4 linked regions of the Saccharomyces cerevisiae S288C genome follow. Changing the gene in region 3 together with the main gene of any one other region gives a genetic interaction. Each region holds a gene or a part of one and is shown on either strand. Other genes may lie near its edges. The genes, in order: PAM17, CPR8, DMO2 and PTK1.

Region 1 (3,900 bases), on a different chromosome or scaffold from region 3:
GCCATTTACTTCGAAAATGCGGAGCAACGGCGGGTTACTGGTGTTCCAGCAAGAGCTGTAATAATTCAATATAACTAGTAAGAATAGCCAAGAAAGCCAAAAGACGAGCTTGGATCGATGCGAAAATGTGGTCGCTCCACACCAATTACTAGTTATCATTTAGCGCTGCCGTGTGGCGACTACACTTCAGCGACCTATGTAGCTTACATAATGTCGGGATGATTTCTCCCGCAGCTAGATCTCGCCAATGGAAATTCCAAAGCCAAAGAATATCCTGCTTTGTCAGGAATTTCGTAAACCATGGTCAGGCCCAGATTTGTAGTTTTCTTTACCAACGACAGCGATGAGTTATTTGGTCCTGAGTACTGAGTAATATGACTCTCTTGGCATCCAGGGGCCGGCCCAAGCCGGCTGTTACCAATTTAGGAAAGGACCCTGGAGCGAAAAGTACTTAAGCAGAGACTATTGTACACGCTCGCTAACTCAAGAACATGAATTTCGCATTCATGCAGACGCAAACACACACGTATATCTACAATTATGACTACTGCTGTTAGGCTTTTACCTTCACTGGGCAGAACCGCCCATAAGAGGTCTCTCTACCTGTTCTCCGCTGCTGCTGCTGCTGCTGCTGCTGCAACTTTTGCTTACTCGCAATCCCAAAAGAGATCATCGTCTTCTCCCGGGGGTGGTAGTAACCACGGATGGAACAACTGGGGGAAGGCAGCTGCTTTGGCTTCCACTACACCGCTCGTTCATGTCGCCTCTGTCGAAAAAGGGAGGTCATACGAGGACTTCCAAAAGGTGTACAATGCGATTGCACTCAAGCTGAGGGAAGATGACGAATATGACAACTATATAGGCTATGGGCCCGTATTAGTCCGTCTTGCTTGGCACACTTCAGGGACCTGGGACAAGCACGACAATACAGGCGGGTCATACGGTGGTACATACAGATTCAAAAAGGAGTTTAACGATCCATCCAATGCGGGCTTGCAGAATGGCTTCAAGTTCCTGGAGCCCATTCACAAAGAGTTTCCCTGGATCTCCTCGGGTGATCTGTTCAGTCTAGGGGGTGTCACTGCCGTGCAGGAAATGCAGGGTCCCAAGATTCCATGGAGATGTGGTAGAGTCGACACGCCAGAGGATACTACCCCTGACAACGGGAGACTGCCTGACGCTGATAAAGACGCTGACTATGTCAGAACATTTTTTCAAAGACTTAATATGAATGACAGAGAAGTAGTTGCTCTTATGGGGGCTCACGCTCTGGGCAAGACCCACTTGAAGAACTCTGGATACGAAGGGCCATGGGGAGCCGCTAACAACGTCTTTACCAATGAGTTTTACTTGAACTTGCTGAATGAAGACTGGAAATTGGAAAAGAACGACGCGAACAACGAACAGTGGGACTCTAAGAGCGGCTACATGATGCTGCCCACTGATTATTCTTTGATTCAGGATCCCAAGTACTTAAGCATTGTGAAAGAATACGCTAATGACCAGGACAAGTTCTTCAAGGATTTTTCCAAAGCTTTTGAAAAACTGTTGGAGAACGGTATCACTTTCCCTAAAGACGCGCCCAGTCCATTTATTTTCAAGACTTTAGAGGAACAAGGTTTATAGGTCACTGAGGAAAGATATTATTTATTGGTTATATTTCGTATTATTTATCTATTTATTATATTTATTATTATTTAGGCTTATGCTTTTTTCTGAATATCATCTAATACGTTTGTACGGTACGTCTATGAAAAATGGAAAGCCATACAATGGTATATCATAAGGGAAACTATGTTCAAAGAAGTGTTAAAAACATTCAGAAAACATTGTCCGCCTCTTCAAAATGTTTACCAGTGCCATTAGATTGTCATCGCAAAGACTGTTCGCTAGTCAACCTTCTGTCACCGCTGCGGCATTGCGCTCGACTGCTACAACCTTACCCTTAAGATCATATTCTCAGCCCGCATCCCTTCAAGACTCCAGTATCTTGACATGGTCTGATTTTTTCAAATTGAGGAAACAGCAGCGTAGAATCAATGTTGGTTCTTCGCTGTTTACTGCTCTTTTGGGCTGTAACGTTTCATGGGCTTACCTTTCCACAATGGAAATAGACCCGACTCAAATGCTATTCGGATTCGACCCATTAACTGTAATTTCAGCTGGGATAATAGCCTCTGGTGCACTAGGCTACTTGTTGGGTCCGATAGTTGGTTCGCAAGTTTTCAAACTTTCCCATAACCAACAATTGGCACAGTTCAACAACAAAAATAAAGAGTTTCTAAAACATATCATCAATAACAGGGTCGATGCCTCTTCTCAAAGTTTCAGTAATCCTGTTCCAGATTATTACGGTGAAAAGATAGGTTCCTTAAAGGAATATAAGCAATGGTTAAGAGATTGTCACGCTTACGCAAAGAAAGCCAAAGAATTTTTGTGATTGAACGTGTGATCTTTTCCTTCTTCTCAGACTCTGTATATATACATATATGAATAAAGTAGTGCGATATATAACGCTACTAAATAATTCGAATGAAATAGGGAGGAAGTGAAAGGTATGAATATTGTATATGTCCTATACGTCTCTTTTATCTCTGACTTTAAAAAAATGATACGAAATCCACAGGATCAAAAATATCTTCAATCACGTCAAACTCTGAGACAATTAAATCATTAACAGGCAAAGCGGGTGCTAAAGGTTGTTGTAGTAGTTCTTTTTGCGGAATTTCAGCTACTTGTTCATTCGTAATGCTTATGTTGGTATCAACTTCAGTATGTTTAGCTAATTGTGAACTGGCGTGATCATAAAAGGATGAAAAAATATTAAACCTGTCGGAATATTTCTCCATATCCAAGAATTCTTGCATTTCCTTTATGCGCATTTGAAACTTAAATCCTGTCATATCATCGTTGTATTTACCTATGGGATAAAACTCATTGTTCCATATACTTAGAATATCTGGCCTATACCCATCATATTTTTGTACTGTCTCCTGAAATTCTAGTATTATTGGACAGATGTCATTTAATCTCATATCGTTGTAATCTATATAACTATCACCGTTATCTTCTAGTTTCAATTCATTCAGCAAAAATTTTAAAATAATTCTCCATGCATCTTTTTCACATGAGCGATTCAAGATCTTGTAGGCAATTTTAGCGGTGAACATTTTTCTAAAACAACGATAGTACTCAAAGCCAAATTCGTTAAAATACACAGACGAGACCCCGTAAAGAAATTCTATCATTTTCTTCTTGTCGGCGTACTGAATTGTTTTGAAGCGGTCTCCTCTGAGAATGAATGCCGGAACAATGACCAAAACTTTGTTTGCGACAATTTCCACGATTCTATTGGTATAAAACTTTGTCAATGAATCCACCTCTAAGGCATCACTGTTAAAAAAGTAATTGTAGCACTTCTCTGAGATATGAATGACCATATCCCACAAATCTTGGAAACTCTTATAAAATTTTGTAATATTGCAGTCATATTCATAAAAGATCATTTCTCCGTGCAGCAAACTTAGTGAGAATAAATCTATTATCCATTCCATTTCGAAATCAAAATGACGCATTGTTTCTTTTTCGTTTTTCGACAGGCTTTTTAAAATATGAAAGTTTCTTTTTAAATCATTTATTAGTCGGTGCAACAAGTTCAAATCTACCTTTCCTGGATCATCGTTCAACGTATCGTTTATCTTTTTCATCAAGTTATCCAGGGTTAACATTCGTATATACCATGTGGGTGTATCTGCTTCTTCTTTGAAATGGCACTGCAAGGTTTTCCCAATTTGACATTCTTCACCGCTAATAAAACACATCTTCCTGTCCCAAAATAAAACATAACTCCATATCTTTCTGAAAACTGAAATGTAATCGCTAGGTTTCATTATATCGTAT
Region 2 (4,191 bases), on a different chromosome or scaffold from region 3:
CAAGTGGAGAACACTTCTGCAGGCGCAACAGATGTGCACGAGAAAAAGCGTATTCCTGTGAGCATTATTACCGGCTATCTAGGATCAGGTAAATCGACGTTGCTGGAAAAAATTGCATTAAAAGGTGCAGATAAAAAAATTGCCGTAATTTTAAATGAATTTGGAGATTCTAGTGAAATCGAAAAGGCTATGACCATTAAAAATGGATCGAACAGCTACCAAGAATGGTTGGATTTGGGTAACGGGTGTCTGTGTTGTTCGTTGAAAAATATAGGTGTTAAAGCCATCGAAGATATGGTGGAGCGTTCACCTGGTAAAATCGATTATATCCTTTTAGAGACCTCCGGTATTGCAGATCCCGCCCCCATTGCGAAAATGTTCTGGCAGGACGAAGGATTGAATAGCAGCGTTTACATTGACGGGATCATCACGGTTTTGGATTGTGAGCATATACTAAAATGCTTAGATGATATTTCCATCGATGCCCATTGGCATGGTGACAAAGTTGGTTTGGAGGGGAATCTGACTATTGCACACTTCCAACTAGCCATGGCTGATCGAATTATAATGAACAAATACGATACTATCGAACATTCACCAGAAATGGTCAAACAATTAAAAGAAAGAGTACGGGAAATAAATTCTATCGCACCGATGTTCTTCACCAAGTATAGTGATACGCCGATTCAAAATTTACTAGATATTCATGCATACGACAGTGTACGGATATCTGACATCTTAGATAGTGGTAGCGGAAACGGTACCATTCATGATGATCGAATGGGCACAATAATGCTTACTTTCAGACCATTAAAAAACGAGGAAGAATATAATAATAAGTTTATTAAGCAATTTTTGCAACCTTTATTGTGGAAGAATTTTGGAGCCATGACAGTGCTGGGAGGGCGTCGCCGAGATGACGGCCGTGATTGGGAAGTACAAAGAACTAAAGGTCTGATACTTATTGAAGGAGAGAACCCCATTGCTCGTGTAATCCAAGGCGTCCGCGACACCTACGATGTCTTTCCAGGCAAATATGACGGATCCAATAAAGAGTGTAAAATTGTGCTGATTGGGAAGTACCTAGAAAAGGAATCCATAGAGGAACTGTTACGTAAAACCCTGGAATGATGGTTGGCATAATAAAGACGAGGTAAGTTATGTATATTTATACGTATGTATGTGATACAAAATGAATGAATATTAAGCGGATGGATCGAAACATTTTAATCCTCTCTAATAGAAACTATTTTAGACGATCTGTTGAATATTCTTTTCCTGTACTTGGCCAAAACGTAGAAAAGTAACAATACCGAAATACCAAGCATAATCTTTGGTAAAGGATGGTGAAGCTGATTATATTTTGCGTCTTCTAACTTTCTTTGACTACCCTGGTATAAATAATTCTTCAATGTAATACCTTTCTCCAAATCGCCGTTTTGGTAATCTTGAAGCCTTTGTAAATACTTTTCGTGAGCTTCCTTTGCATGCTGAATCCTGTGTTCCTGGGATGAAATGTAACCTATTGTTATTGGTTGCTCTGGTTTGCCATTTTCGTCAGTTTTCACATTAGCTAGTTTATCCATCAGATCTTTTAACCCGGCGGTAACTTGGCCAAACACAACACTTTCACCTTCAAGTGGCGTCTCACTGGTCTCAATTATAAACTTAAGACCCTTATCGTCCTTAATCATGGAAACTCTGCCTGGCCTATCATGAATTAAACTATGATTTTCTTCCGGGAGTTTTGGAGCCAACATTTCCGTTTCTTCAATAGAGGAGGAAGAAACGGAGCTACCTTCTATAGCTCCATTCGGTAGAATTTTATCAAAATCGCGTTCTGGCGAGTAACTGTGACGGGAAGCAAGGCGATCTTTTACACTATCAACATACTGGCAAAAAGTCATTACTGTCTTGGGCACCATAGTCCCGTATAAGTCTATTGTTATGAGACGGCCGGCTTCTTCCGAACTTTCAGGATCTGTGAAAACAATTCCGATGTTTACATTATGTGTAATAGGAGGGTCTGGTGCGTATTTTTTCTTTAGGTCTAAGGAGTCTGAAGAAGCCCTTTTGTTATCCACAGGTAATGGCAGAGCCGTTATGCAACTAAACATGAATGCCACATAAAGATAAAGAAAAAAGCTCTTCATTGGGAACCAATGTATACAAATTGTAATAATCTTTCAATTGTGATACTGAATATGAATAGTCTTCTTTATTTATCTACTGCAGTAGTTGATTCTATATATTCTATATATTCTATATTTTTCTTCTATTTTTTTAAATATTTTTTTTCCAATCAAATTGAAAGACCCAAAGAAGGATCGATCTTCTCCAAAGGGACGCGTCGTGTGCCTACAGTTTCCAAATCAGGAATGTATTTTCCTATTTAGGCAGGTTCCTGCAGCAGCCGCACCCCAATGAGGAAGGAGCATACCGTTTCGTAAGAATCATATTTTAATGGTTTTTGGCTTGCCAATGGAGGGTATGAGATCTTGCTTTAGGATGTCTCTACACTGAATCAGCTTTAAATCCTTGATATCTATCGTGGAATCTTGTGGGCCCCGCTCAGCTATGTTTAAATCATACGTTTTTTGTAGGATACTGGTGACGAGCCACAGCACTTGGCCCAAGGATGCGCTTAATGACAGCTGTGTGCAGCGGCGGTCGCCTAGTAACGAGTCAGTGAGCATGGCGCTGATTAAATCACCACTTCCACTAAATTTTGCGTTGATCTTGGGGATTTCATAGAAGAATATCTCTTCACTGGCCGAGCAATCAAACCCTGCTACTACGTAAGTGTCGTTGCTCAGGAATTCAGATAATTCCAGACTAGTGACAACTATTCGGCTTACTCGAGGGTACTTTTTATGAAATAGTTTAAATGCCTGCTTAGCGTCGTCTAAGGTACGAATTGACATCCCCACCAACAGTTCCATTTCAAACTGATTTGGTGTGGCCAAAAAAATTTTGAAGTTTTGTAAAATGTCTTGGTATACCGCAACACATTCTCGATCCACGTACAGCCTTCCATTATCGCCCAGTACAGGATCTAATATCCACTTGACGTTTTCACTCCCCTCACATAATTGACCCACTATTCCTGCTACCTTTTGCAGGGCTTGAACATTGGGTAAATAGCCACTAAGTACGGCATCATACTTGATTCTAAGAGACCCAATCAAGCCCTTCTCTACAATGTCTACCAACTCCTCAGTGCTGCATTTGAAGCCTGTGAAGTGGGCGTACCCCGAGTGGTTAGAAAACTGAACTGTGTTCAATACGTCCACATCCCAACCTCTGTATTGAAGTGGGAACGTAGCGGCCTTGTTTCCCACGTAGCCATGTATGACGTGTGATTGAATGGAGAGCACTTTTTTTGTCGTATGTAATGTACTGGTCATTGGCACCACCCTCACACAGGCATGTATTCAACCTTCCACTGCGTCTGGTCTAATTTCTCAAAGCTAGTTATTATCTTTATCTTGAATGGTGATGACAATAGAGTAAGAATGAGGGAAAAAAGAAAAGTTGAAAAAAAAAAAATCCAAAAAATTCAAAAACGTGTACAGAAACCTAGAAGGATACGTGATAGAAATACAGATATATAACAAGGTTGAGATACAATCGAGCCACTATGAAGTTCGTGACAGCTAGTTATAACGTCGGGTATCCTGCGTACGGTGCAAAATTTTTGAATAACGACACATTACTTGTGGCAGGCGGTGGAGGAGAAGGAAACAATGGCATACCAAACAAGCTGACGGTCTTGCGCGTGGATCCTACCAAAGATACTGAGAAGGAACAGTTTCATATATTGAGCGAGTTTGCATTGGAAGACAACGACGACTCTCCTACTGCAATTGACGCTTCCAAGGGTATCATTTTGGTTGGCTGCAATGAAAATAGCACTAAGATTACCCAAGGTAAAGGTAATAAGCACTTGAGAAAATTTAAATACGATAAAGTGAATGATCAATTGGAGTTCCTCACTAGTGTAGACTTTGACGCATCTACAAATGCGGATGACTACACGAAGCTGGTTTATATTTCACGAGAAGGTACCGTTGCAGCTATCGCATCATCTAAAGTACCTGCTATAATGAGAATCATTGACCCGAGCGACTTGACAGAGAAGTTTGAGATCGAGACTAGGGGTGAAGTAAAGGATTTACACTTTTCCACTGA
Region 3 (3,813 bases):
AGATAAAATACTGTCCGTTTATAAAAGGTTTGTTCAAAGAGGGACTGTTTCGAGTAAGAAAACCTGGTTCAACGAATTAACAATATCAAAAATAGCGTATGGCGTACTAAATGGCTTGGATCATTTGTACCGACAATATAAGATCATTCATCGTGATATCAAGCCTTCCAATGTTCTGATTAATAGTAAGGGGCAGATTAAGTTATGTGATTTTGGAGTTTCCAAAAAACTAATAAATTCTATCGCTGATACATTTGTTGGAACGTCCACTTATATGTCACCAGAGAGGATACAAGGAAACGTTTATTCTATCAAAGGGGACGTTTGGTCATTGGGCTTAATGATCATCGAGCTGGTAACTGGAGAGTTTCCCCTAGGTGGGCATAACGATACACCTGATGGCATATTGGATTTGCTGCAACGTATTGTCAACGAGCCTTCACCAAGATTACCCAAAGACCGTATCTATTCCAAGGAAATGACAGATTTTGTCAATAGGTGTTGTATTAAGAATGAAAGGGAAAGGTCATCGATTCATGAATTGCTACATCATGATCTTATAATGAAATACGTATCACCGTCTAAAGATGATAAATTTAGACATTGGTGTAGAAAAATAAAATCTAAAATAAAGGAAGACAAGAGAATTAAAAGAGAAGCCTTGGACCGTGCCAAGTTAGAAAAGAAACAATCGGAAAGATCAACCCATTGAATGCATGCGATAACATTAGTTAGGAACATATTGCACTTTTTTTCACATCCCTTTCTCAAAGCTATATTCATATATATATAGACTCTCCTGATTATGTAAATCACAAACCAATTTTCTAATGTAACAATATTTTTAAAAATAATCATCAAAGTAGCACTTTATGTACAGAAAATTTCACGATTGAGAGAAGCTTGCGAATAATACTAGTTAGCCTGTGTTTCACCATCGTTACTTAATTTCTTATAGTTCTTATATTCTTTATTTTTATGCCACAACCAACCTTCGGTTCCTCTAACGAAACCGAAGGCGATTAATAACCCACCGAAGCTACGTAAAGTTACTTTCCACCATTGTGGGTTTCTTTTTTCAAATTCAGTCAGAGAAATGCCTCTTTTGGCTTCTTTTTTACCATACTTGAATGGTTTCCCAGATGCCAAGTATGAGCCAAATCCAACAGAAAACATAGTGCTCATGACTTGACAAGGAACGCAATCCATAGTCTCTTCTTTTTCCAGCTCCCTTTGTGGTGGAGGGTTGAACACTGCCAAAATATTACTCATTGTTTTTCACCACTTGCTGTTTCTCTCTAAGCGGTGTTTTGTTTCCTACTTGGTGGCACACAATGACTGTACTCGCTTTATATGCTCGTACCTTTTTTCAAAAGCCCATCGTTAATTTTTCACCCGAGGACCCCATATTACGCGTTTTTTGTTAATGTTCAATTTCTGACATGTTACAATTATAATAACGCCAAAAGAGGTAAATGTATATTTGAACAATTGTTAAAGAGAAGATAAAAACCCTTTAATCTTGCATTTGTCGTCAATAGTACACAATAGGCGATCTATTTTAGTACGGCAATTAAAAGAAAGCTGCTTTTCAGTCAAGAATGCCGGAATTAACAGAATTTCAGAAAAAACGTTTAGAGAACATCAAAAGGAATAACGATTTATTGAAAAAACTCCATTTGTCTGGAGTAGCATCTCAAATTAAGCACGAGGCTGGGGTGTTGGAAAAATCTAGAGCTCCTGCAAAAAAGAAACAAAAAACAACTAATACCAGAGCAACCAAGTCTGCGAGTCCCACTTTACCTACACGAAGATCAAGAAGGCTAAGGGGTGAGTCTGCAGACGATGTGAAAGGAATACCCAATGTGAACGATAATCAGTTGCTTAAAATGGGTTCTCCAGATGGCCAGGATAAGAATTTTATAGACGCAATAAAGGAGAAACCTGTAATAGGAGATGTGAAATTAAGTGATCTGATCAAGGATGAAGACGAAAGTGCCCTTTTAGAGAAATTCAAGAGGTTTAATAACGGAAACTTTTCTTCTGGTGATTTCTTTGAAGAAATAAAAAAGAGACAGGGTGACGTTACGGGGATGGACGAATTTGATTTGGATCTATATGACGTTTTTCAACCGAACGAAATTAAGATTACATACGAAAGAATCTCTGCCACTTACTTCCATCCTGCTATGGAAAAAAAGCTAATAATTGCAGGTGATACAAGCGGTACTGTGGGTTTTTGGAACGTTAGAGATGAACCACTAGCTGACAGCGAAGAGGACCGAATGGAAGAACCCGATATCACCAGAGTGAAACTATTTACCAAAAACGTCGGCCGTATTGATTGCTTCCCTGCGGACACATCGAAGATATTGCTCACCTCTTACGACGGAAGCATCAGGTCAGTTCACTTGAATAACTTACAGAGTGAAGAGGTTCTCACCTTGAAAAATGAATATGACGATTCACTGGGTATCAGCGATTGCCAGTTTAGCTACGAAAACCCAAATGTTTTATTCCTCACCACATTAGGTGGTGAATTCACCACGTTTGACACAAGAGTAAAAAAATCAGAGTATAATCTGCGAAGACTCGCAGACAAGAAGATCGGGTCTATGGCAATAAATCCCATGAGACCCTACGAGATTGCCACCGGATCACTTGATAGAACACTCAAAATCTGGGATACAAGAAACCTTGTTAAAAAGCCAGAGTGGTCACAATATGAAGACTATCCCAGTCATGAAATTGTCTCCACATATGACTCAAGATTGAGCGTCTCTGCAGTTTCTTACTCACCGACAGATGGCACCTTAGTGTGCAATGGCTATGACGATACCATCCGCTTATTCGATGTCAAGAGTAGGGATCACCTTTCTGCGAAGTTGGAGCCCAAACTAACGATTCAGCACAATTGCCAAACAGGAAGATGGACAAGCATCCTCAAGGCCAGGTTCAAGCCGAACAAGAATGTTTTTGCAATAGCTAACATGAAGCGCGCCATCGACATATACAACAGCGAAGGCCAGCAACTGGCTCACCTACCCACAGCTACTGTCCCAGCTGTAATTAGTTGGCACCCGCTGCGAAACTGGATTGCAGGTGGTAATTCTAGCGGCAAAATATTCCTCTTTACTGATGACTCCGGAACCATAAAGCAGGAAGAATGAAAACATCTCAGTTACCCGCACTGCCTTTTTTCTCTCCCGCTTTTCAGCAGAACGAGGCGACAAGCGAAGGAACAAAACAAAACAAAAGAAAACAAAAATATTGAAATGCAAGAACATGGACACATAAAAACATTTTTGATCCGGTCGAAAGAAAACGATCAGAAATTTTTAGCTGCTTGCTTAGAAGAAAAGAAAAGAAAATTGCAGAGAAAAAGCTATTTATTGTTTCTGTCCTTCGCTTTAAAACATAGAGATATTTTGTCCTTTTTATCATTGCTTATTATAAATGCATCATAACTCACAGTCTTTGAGCTCTGGACACATCAGGAGCCCCGAGGATGAAAATGTGGCACCTATAGGTAATCTTAAACACAGGACTGGATCCCTCAGTCATATTTCATCTGCGCACCCGAGGGTCGCACTTAGCGACGTTACCAATATAGTTGCGACAAACTCTAGCAACAACAGCATAAGTAAGCCAAAAGTCGCCCCAATTAAAGAAAGATTGGATTCAGCTGCGATAATTGAGGAAGAAAGGCTGGATGCGAATAGTGTTGCACAGAGAAAAGAAGCTGATCATAACGATTTGTTAACGGACAGGGAACAAGAGGAACCCGTTGAAGACGACGGAGAAAGCGAAGAG
Region 4 (5,075 bases), on a different chromosome or scaffold from region 3:
TCGTTTTTGAAAGACGAAGTCAGGATGCTATACCAGGAATCATCATCACTGTCAAGTTCGTTGTAATTTGGTAGAAGGTAATCAGCGTCCCGCCCAAGTCCGTTACGCTGCGGTGAATTTGACCAGATAAACGTTATAATGATGATCTGCAGTAGAATCAGTGGAAGGAGAATGCGCCTTAATGGGTAGTGCTTGACACGCAGCAGGCCAGATAAGAACCGCCTGTGAAGTTTAGATGATATTCGCTGAAGCATAACTAATTAGTTTATTTGTGTGAAGGAATAGTGACGTTGTGATGCGGTGAGTTCGGCGGTTAGGGGAATGGTATATGATAAAAAACGGAAACGTGCTTCTTTAATTTAATTGTTTAATATTGTTGCAGATATATAAAAAGGGGGAAAGAACCAAAGATGTAATTATTTCTTTATTGCCTCAACCTAAAGCAAGCAATAAGGTATAGAGATCAGGACGTCTCGAGAGCTGATATCAAATTTGAAGCCACGCAAGTAACTACGTAGGTCAGAGGGCACAAGGAATAACACGTGACATTTTTCTTTTTTCTTTTTTTTTTTTTTTTTTTTTTTTGTTAGTCTTGGCTTCTGTGCCGTAGTCTGTATACGGTTTTAGATGCGGTATGTTTATCATCGCCCAGAAATTTGCGGGGTGCAAAGAAATAAAATCCGTGCTGAAACCCGTGCTGAAATCCGTGCACCGCATCAAATTTTCTCGGAGGATTCTTTGCGCCGGTTTTCATTTTCTTCCACGGAATACCAAGCCCATTGCATCGCGATGTTAGTTTAGCGGAGTTTCTTGGCATTGGCAAATCTCTGCTAAATGCTGCGTACAGACGGAAACTCACACCGCCGCGAAGACTGGTCAGTGGCAAAAAAAAAATAAAAATATAGAAAATAACTATTACGTATGTTACTGTTTCTGGTAGTTGATATGAAGTTGGAGTTGTATATTGTACGCTTTAGGAACAGGGAAGTGAATATTATTTACTCTGCTGCACATTCTGGCTAGGTCGAAGCCGGAACTTGAGAAGACGCCGCGCTAGAACTATGGACCAAGCTGTTGACAATGTTCAGATGGTGATGCACTACCCTGTGCGGGGAGTGGCCACGGACGCGAGCGGAAGGTGCGGAAGGTGCGGAAGGTGCGGGAGTTGCGGGAGGTTCTTCGCTAAGCGTGAGGGTTGCTAGCTGGGGCGGCGGGGTTTCCCTAAGTGTAAATAAGGCCTCGGCTGGCACATGAGTCGCCGGAGGAGGCGGCGGAGGCGACGACGCTAAAACCGTGGCCGTTGGGGAAGGATGGGCGGCTATATCTACCATTGACCTGATGGGGACTCGGTTCTTAAGGAATGGGTTTGAGGTGGGTGTGGTTGCAGCAACATCTGTAGCGATATGGAAACCCCGCGGATTCTCGTACGTAGTGGTTTTGATAATAGGTTTCTTACACACATATTTGTCGTTGGCATCAACACAAGTCTCAATTCCTTGGAACCATGGGTCTTCGAAGAGGTCGTCGATGGTGTAGCGGGTGGCGGCTTCTGGGTCAGCGAGCCGCCATGCCACGCGAGATGCATGTCCGTTCTTGAAATTTCTAGCCAAGTGATACTCCATTCCCGGCCCCGGGCGGTAATTGCCGCGATTGCGGAATGCGCGATCGTGAAGACGGATAAAGTTTTCATAAGCGTCACAGTAATCGCGGAAACCAGTGTCGAAGCTGCAGGATTCCAAAAATGGAATGACGTTGTTGACGAGGGTCATGAGGATAATACCCAGGCCATAACAGTCTAGAGCGCGTGGGTCATACGGCTGTTGCAATTCCGTATCGTAGTGCTTCTTGGAGTCGTAGAACATGACCTCCGGGGGAGCATACGGCGGCGAGCCGATCATCCCTGCGCACTTCTTGACAGGGCTGGACAGGTCGTGTGGATCCGTGTGGTACCAGTCTGAGATACCAAAATCTGTCAGCTTGCACACGCCGTCCGGGGATAGCAGTACATTTTCCGGTTTCAAATCACGGTGGGCGATGCCCTGATCGTGGCAAAACTTGACACCACACGCCACCTGTTTGAATATACAAAACTTTTCTGCTAGGGCCACGCTGCGCCAGCCCGATTTTTGTATCATCGCGAACAAATCTCGTAGACCTAGCTCCATGACGAACCCCCACCCGCGAGTGGTGTAGACGGTGGTGGGCACCTTGACTAGAAGGAAAGTATTTGTGATGTGAACATGATGACTTAGCTGCTTTGCGATGATAAACTCCTTTGAGCAGCGCTTGTAGAATTTCTCGGGCGTTTCATTATAGATCATATTGAGCTTCTTTAGAGCAAATACGTCCTTCTTGCGGTACTTGGAGCGGATCTTGCGCACTTCGCACGAACCGCCCCATCCGATGGTCTTATTCTCATCATCAAAGACGAAGTTATCGCTCAACTGGATGCTTGCCTCCTTCATCTCGTCGGGCAGATACTCGTTTGGGTCCACAATTGGGATCGGCAGCATGCGGATTTTGGAATCCCCATCGTGAAGGTAGAAGCCCAGATCAGGGTCTTTCTTCATGGAGGTAGAGACGGACGAGAGTGACGTGCTTGGGGTTGAGACGCCGTATGGATTGTACACTAATCGTTCGCTACTGAACTTGGAGTTTGAGAGATTACGCGAAGTGGACGAATGTCTGTTTCCTCTTGAGATGGACGTGCTGGAGCCGGCCGGAGGTAGGATCTTGGTTGAGGCGGAAGATAAAGATCTCTTGCTGTTGGTTGTGTGAGCGAAAGAGTTTGCACGGCGAGAGGTTTTCAACGAATTCGGCAGTTTTGGGCTGGAGGATTCGCTGTCATTAGTACTTGTAGAGTGGAAGTCTGGAGGTAGAGACGCCTTTTTCTTCAACTTGTTCCCATGGCTTGAACTTAACAGCTTCTTTCCGAAGAACTTAAATGCTGATACCGAGGAGATTGGTTGTTGGGATATCTTCGTAGAATGATTGTGTGAGACTGTCATTGGTTGGTGGTGCGATTTAATGCGTATGCTTGCCTGTGGCGTTAAAATGGTCTATACGTTTATGCTAATATTTCTTGATGTAATGCAGGGCCTATGAATACATGGAGGTTTGTTGCCGGTGGTATACGGTTGAAAAAAAAAAGAAATAGATATATATATATTTCTTCTTTGTATAGACTTCTGCGAGAAAAAGAAAAGATAAGGAAAAATGAAAAAAAAAGCGTATAGGTGCTAAGAAGAATTAAGTATCAAAAGGTAGCAGGCATTTATGTTATATATGCAACTTCGGATTTCGTTCAATACATCTTGACCGGTCTCCACTGTTACTGGCATATTTCTCGGGTTTTTCCTTTTCACCACAAGGGAAAAAAAATGCGTTATGTAATTTCACCAATATTTTTCCCGTCCTGCGTGCTCGCACAATACAATAGGGTCATGTCACGTAATAAGCAACGTGCGCCGCATTTTTTGCCCTTTAAAGGGAAACGCGCTTTGTTCTTTTCTTCTTCCTTTTCACATAAGGGAGAGTCGGCTACCAATGTCGATGGAATTCTCACCATTGGGCATCTCACCGTTCCTATCCTTCTGGAACCTATCGTAAATCCCCCTTAATTTGACCAACTCACTTGTTGAAATACTAGGTTTTGTCTCTTGACAGGCTTCCAATAAATCGTTTATTGTGACCACAGCTGTCAGCTCAGAAGCAGCTGAAGTGCTTGTCTTTGTCTCGTGCACCACATCTTGCTGCAATAGAGTCTTTAGCCGTAGTCTATTTTCTTCTCTACGCCCGTGCTCATTGATACTGAAGTATTCTATATTATCATTGCCGGGTACCACTTCCGATTGGTCTGCAGCAGACAGCCACCTATGTACAGATTTCAAATAAGCATTGTAGCAGAGCCCCTGTAAATCAGCACCCGAAAAACCAGCTGTCTTTTCAGCGATCAACTTCAAGTCTGCATTTTTCTCCAATGCAAATTTTTTTTGTCCCGTATCCTTGTCTTTTGAATTGACGATAGCTTGCAAGATATCTAACCTCTCTGATTCAGTCGGTATATTACAGATCACACTTTTGTCTAATCTTCCCGGTCTTAACAATGCGCTATCAATCAAATCAGGTCTACTTGTAGCTGCTAGTATATATACACCATCAAGGCCCTCGGCACCATCCATTTGGGTCAATAATTGATTGACTACACGGTCTGTGACACCAGTGGAGTCATGCCCTCTCTTTGGCGCAATAGAATCGAACTCGTCAAAAAATAGAATACAGGGTTTGACGGACTGTGCCCTTTCAAACAATTCTCTTATGTTTTGTTCGCTGGCACCTATAAACTTGTTTAAAATCTCTGGTCCCTTAACGGAGATAAAGTTTAACCCACATTGTTGTGCCACGGCGCTCGCCAGAAGCGTTTTACCACAACCAGGATAACCGTAAAGCAAGATTCCTGATCTCAATCTTAGGGGACAATTAACGAAAATAGGCTCATATTTTGTGGGCCACTCTAAGGTTTCTAGAAGGACATCTTTGGCATTTGCTAAAGCACCAATATCCCCCCATTTGATGTTCGTTTCTTTTGTTAGCTTTACTCCACGCAACGCAGATGGTGTAAACGCACTAAGCGACTTCGAAAAAAGTTCCCTTGTTACAACATTATCACAATCTCTTTCCAACTGCAAGTCGTAGAAAATCTTTTCTGTGAATATTTCCAAATCTAGTGGCGAAAATCCTTCTGTCTCCAACGACAAATCACTGAATTGCAAATCTCGATTTAGTTTCATGATCTGGTTTTTCGAGAAAAAATACTCCAGTAACTTCGCTCTTGCATGTTTGTCAGGTGCTCTCAAAGACCACGTCTCTGAAACAAAATGCTTATCAAACAATAGCGGATTAATTTGAGTTTTCTGCTTGCCTGAAAATAAAACTCTGATTCGTTTATTATCCTTGTTAAATATCTTTGTCACCTGATTGATGAAAAAATTCAAAAGTTTGCTTGCATTATCCCATTGGCCATTATTAGAAGGATCTCCGTCATTGGCTTGAGGTTTTCCAAATAGAGCCTCAAC

What was found.
Region 1: mutations in DMO2 (region 3) and PAM17 impair growth when combined (synthetic growth defect), as found in Saccharomyces cerevisiae (2 studies listed by BioGRID, with this or other methods).
Region 2: mutations in DMO2 (region 3) and CPR8 together harm fitness more than expected from each alone (negative genetic interaction), as found in Saccharomyces cerevisiae (2 studies listed by BioGRID).
Region 4: mutations in DMO2 (region 3) and PTK1 together harm fitness more than expected from each alone (negative genetic interaction), as found in Saccharomyces cerevisiae (2 studies listed by BioGRID).

What each region holds. Positions count from the first base shown.
Region 1 is NC_001143.9:563,839-567,738, reverse strand, and holds PAM17 (Pam17p), read left to right. Parts: upstream 1-1,846; coding exon 1,847-2,440; downstream 2,441-3,900. Other genes in the region: CCP1 (cytochrome-c peroxidase), read left to right, coding at 541-1,626; OAF3 (Oaf3p), read right to left, coding at 2,601-3,900. UniProt on the Saccharomyces cerevisiae protein: Component of the PAM complex, a complex required for the translocation of transit peptide-containing proteins from the inner membrane into the mitochondrial matrix in an ATP-dependent manner.
Region 2 is NC_001146.8:674,139-678,329, reverse strand, and holds CPR8 (peptidylprolyl isomerase family protein CPR8), read right to left. Parts: upstream 2,154-4,191; coding exon 1,227-2,153; downstream 1-1,226. Other genes in the region: ZNG1 (GTP-dependent zinc transferase), read left to right, coding at 1-1,131; putative pyridoxal kinase BUD17, read right to left, coding at 2,454-3,407; Sar family guanine nucleotide exchange factor SEC12, read left to right, coding at 3,641-4,191. UniProt on the Saccharomyces cerevisiae protein: PPIases accelerate the folding of proteins. It catalyzes the cis-trans isomerization of proline imidic peptide bonds in oligopeptides.
Region 3 is NC_001136.10:173,317-177,129, forward strand, and holds DMO2 (Dmo2p), read right to left. Parts: upstream 1,273-3,813; coding exon 916-1,272; downstream 1-915. Other genes in the region: mitogen-activated protein kinase kinase STE7, read left to right, coding at 1-712; CMR1 (Cmr1p), read left to right, coding at 1,602-3,170; B-type cyclin CLB3, read left to right, coding at 3,457-3,813.
Region 4 is NC_001143.9:67,213-72,287, forward strand, and holds PTK1 (putative serine/threonine protein kinase PTK1), read right to left. Parts: upstream 3,009-5,075; coding exon 1,020-3,008; downstream 1-1,019. Other genes in the region: MNN4 (Mnn4p), read right to left, coding at 1-254; PEX1 (AAA family ATPase peroxin 1), read right to left, coding at 3,522-5,075. UniProt on the Saccharomyces cerevisiae protein: Essential determinant for low-affinity spermidine transport.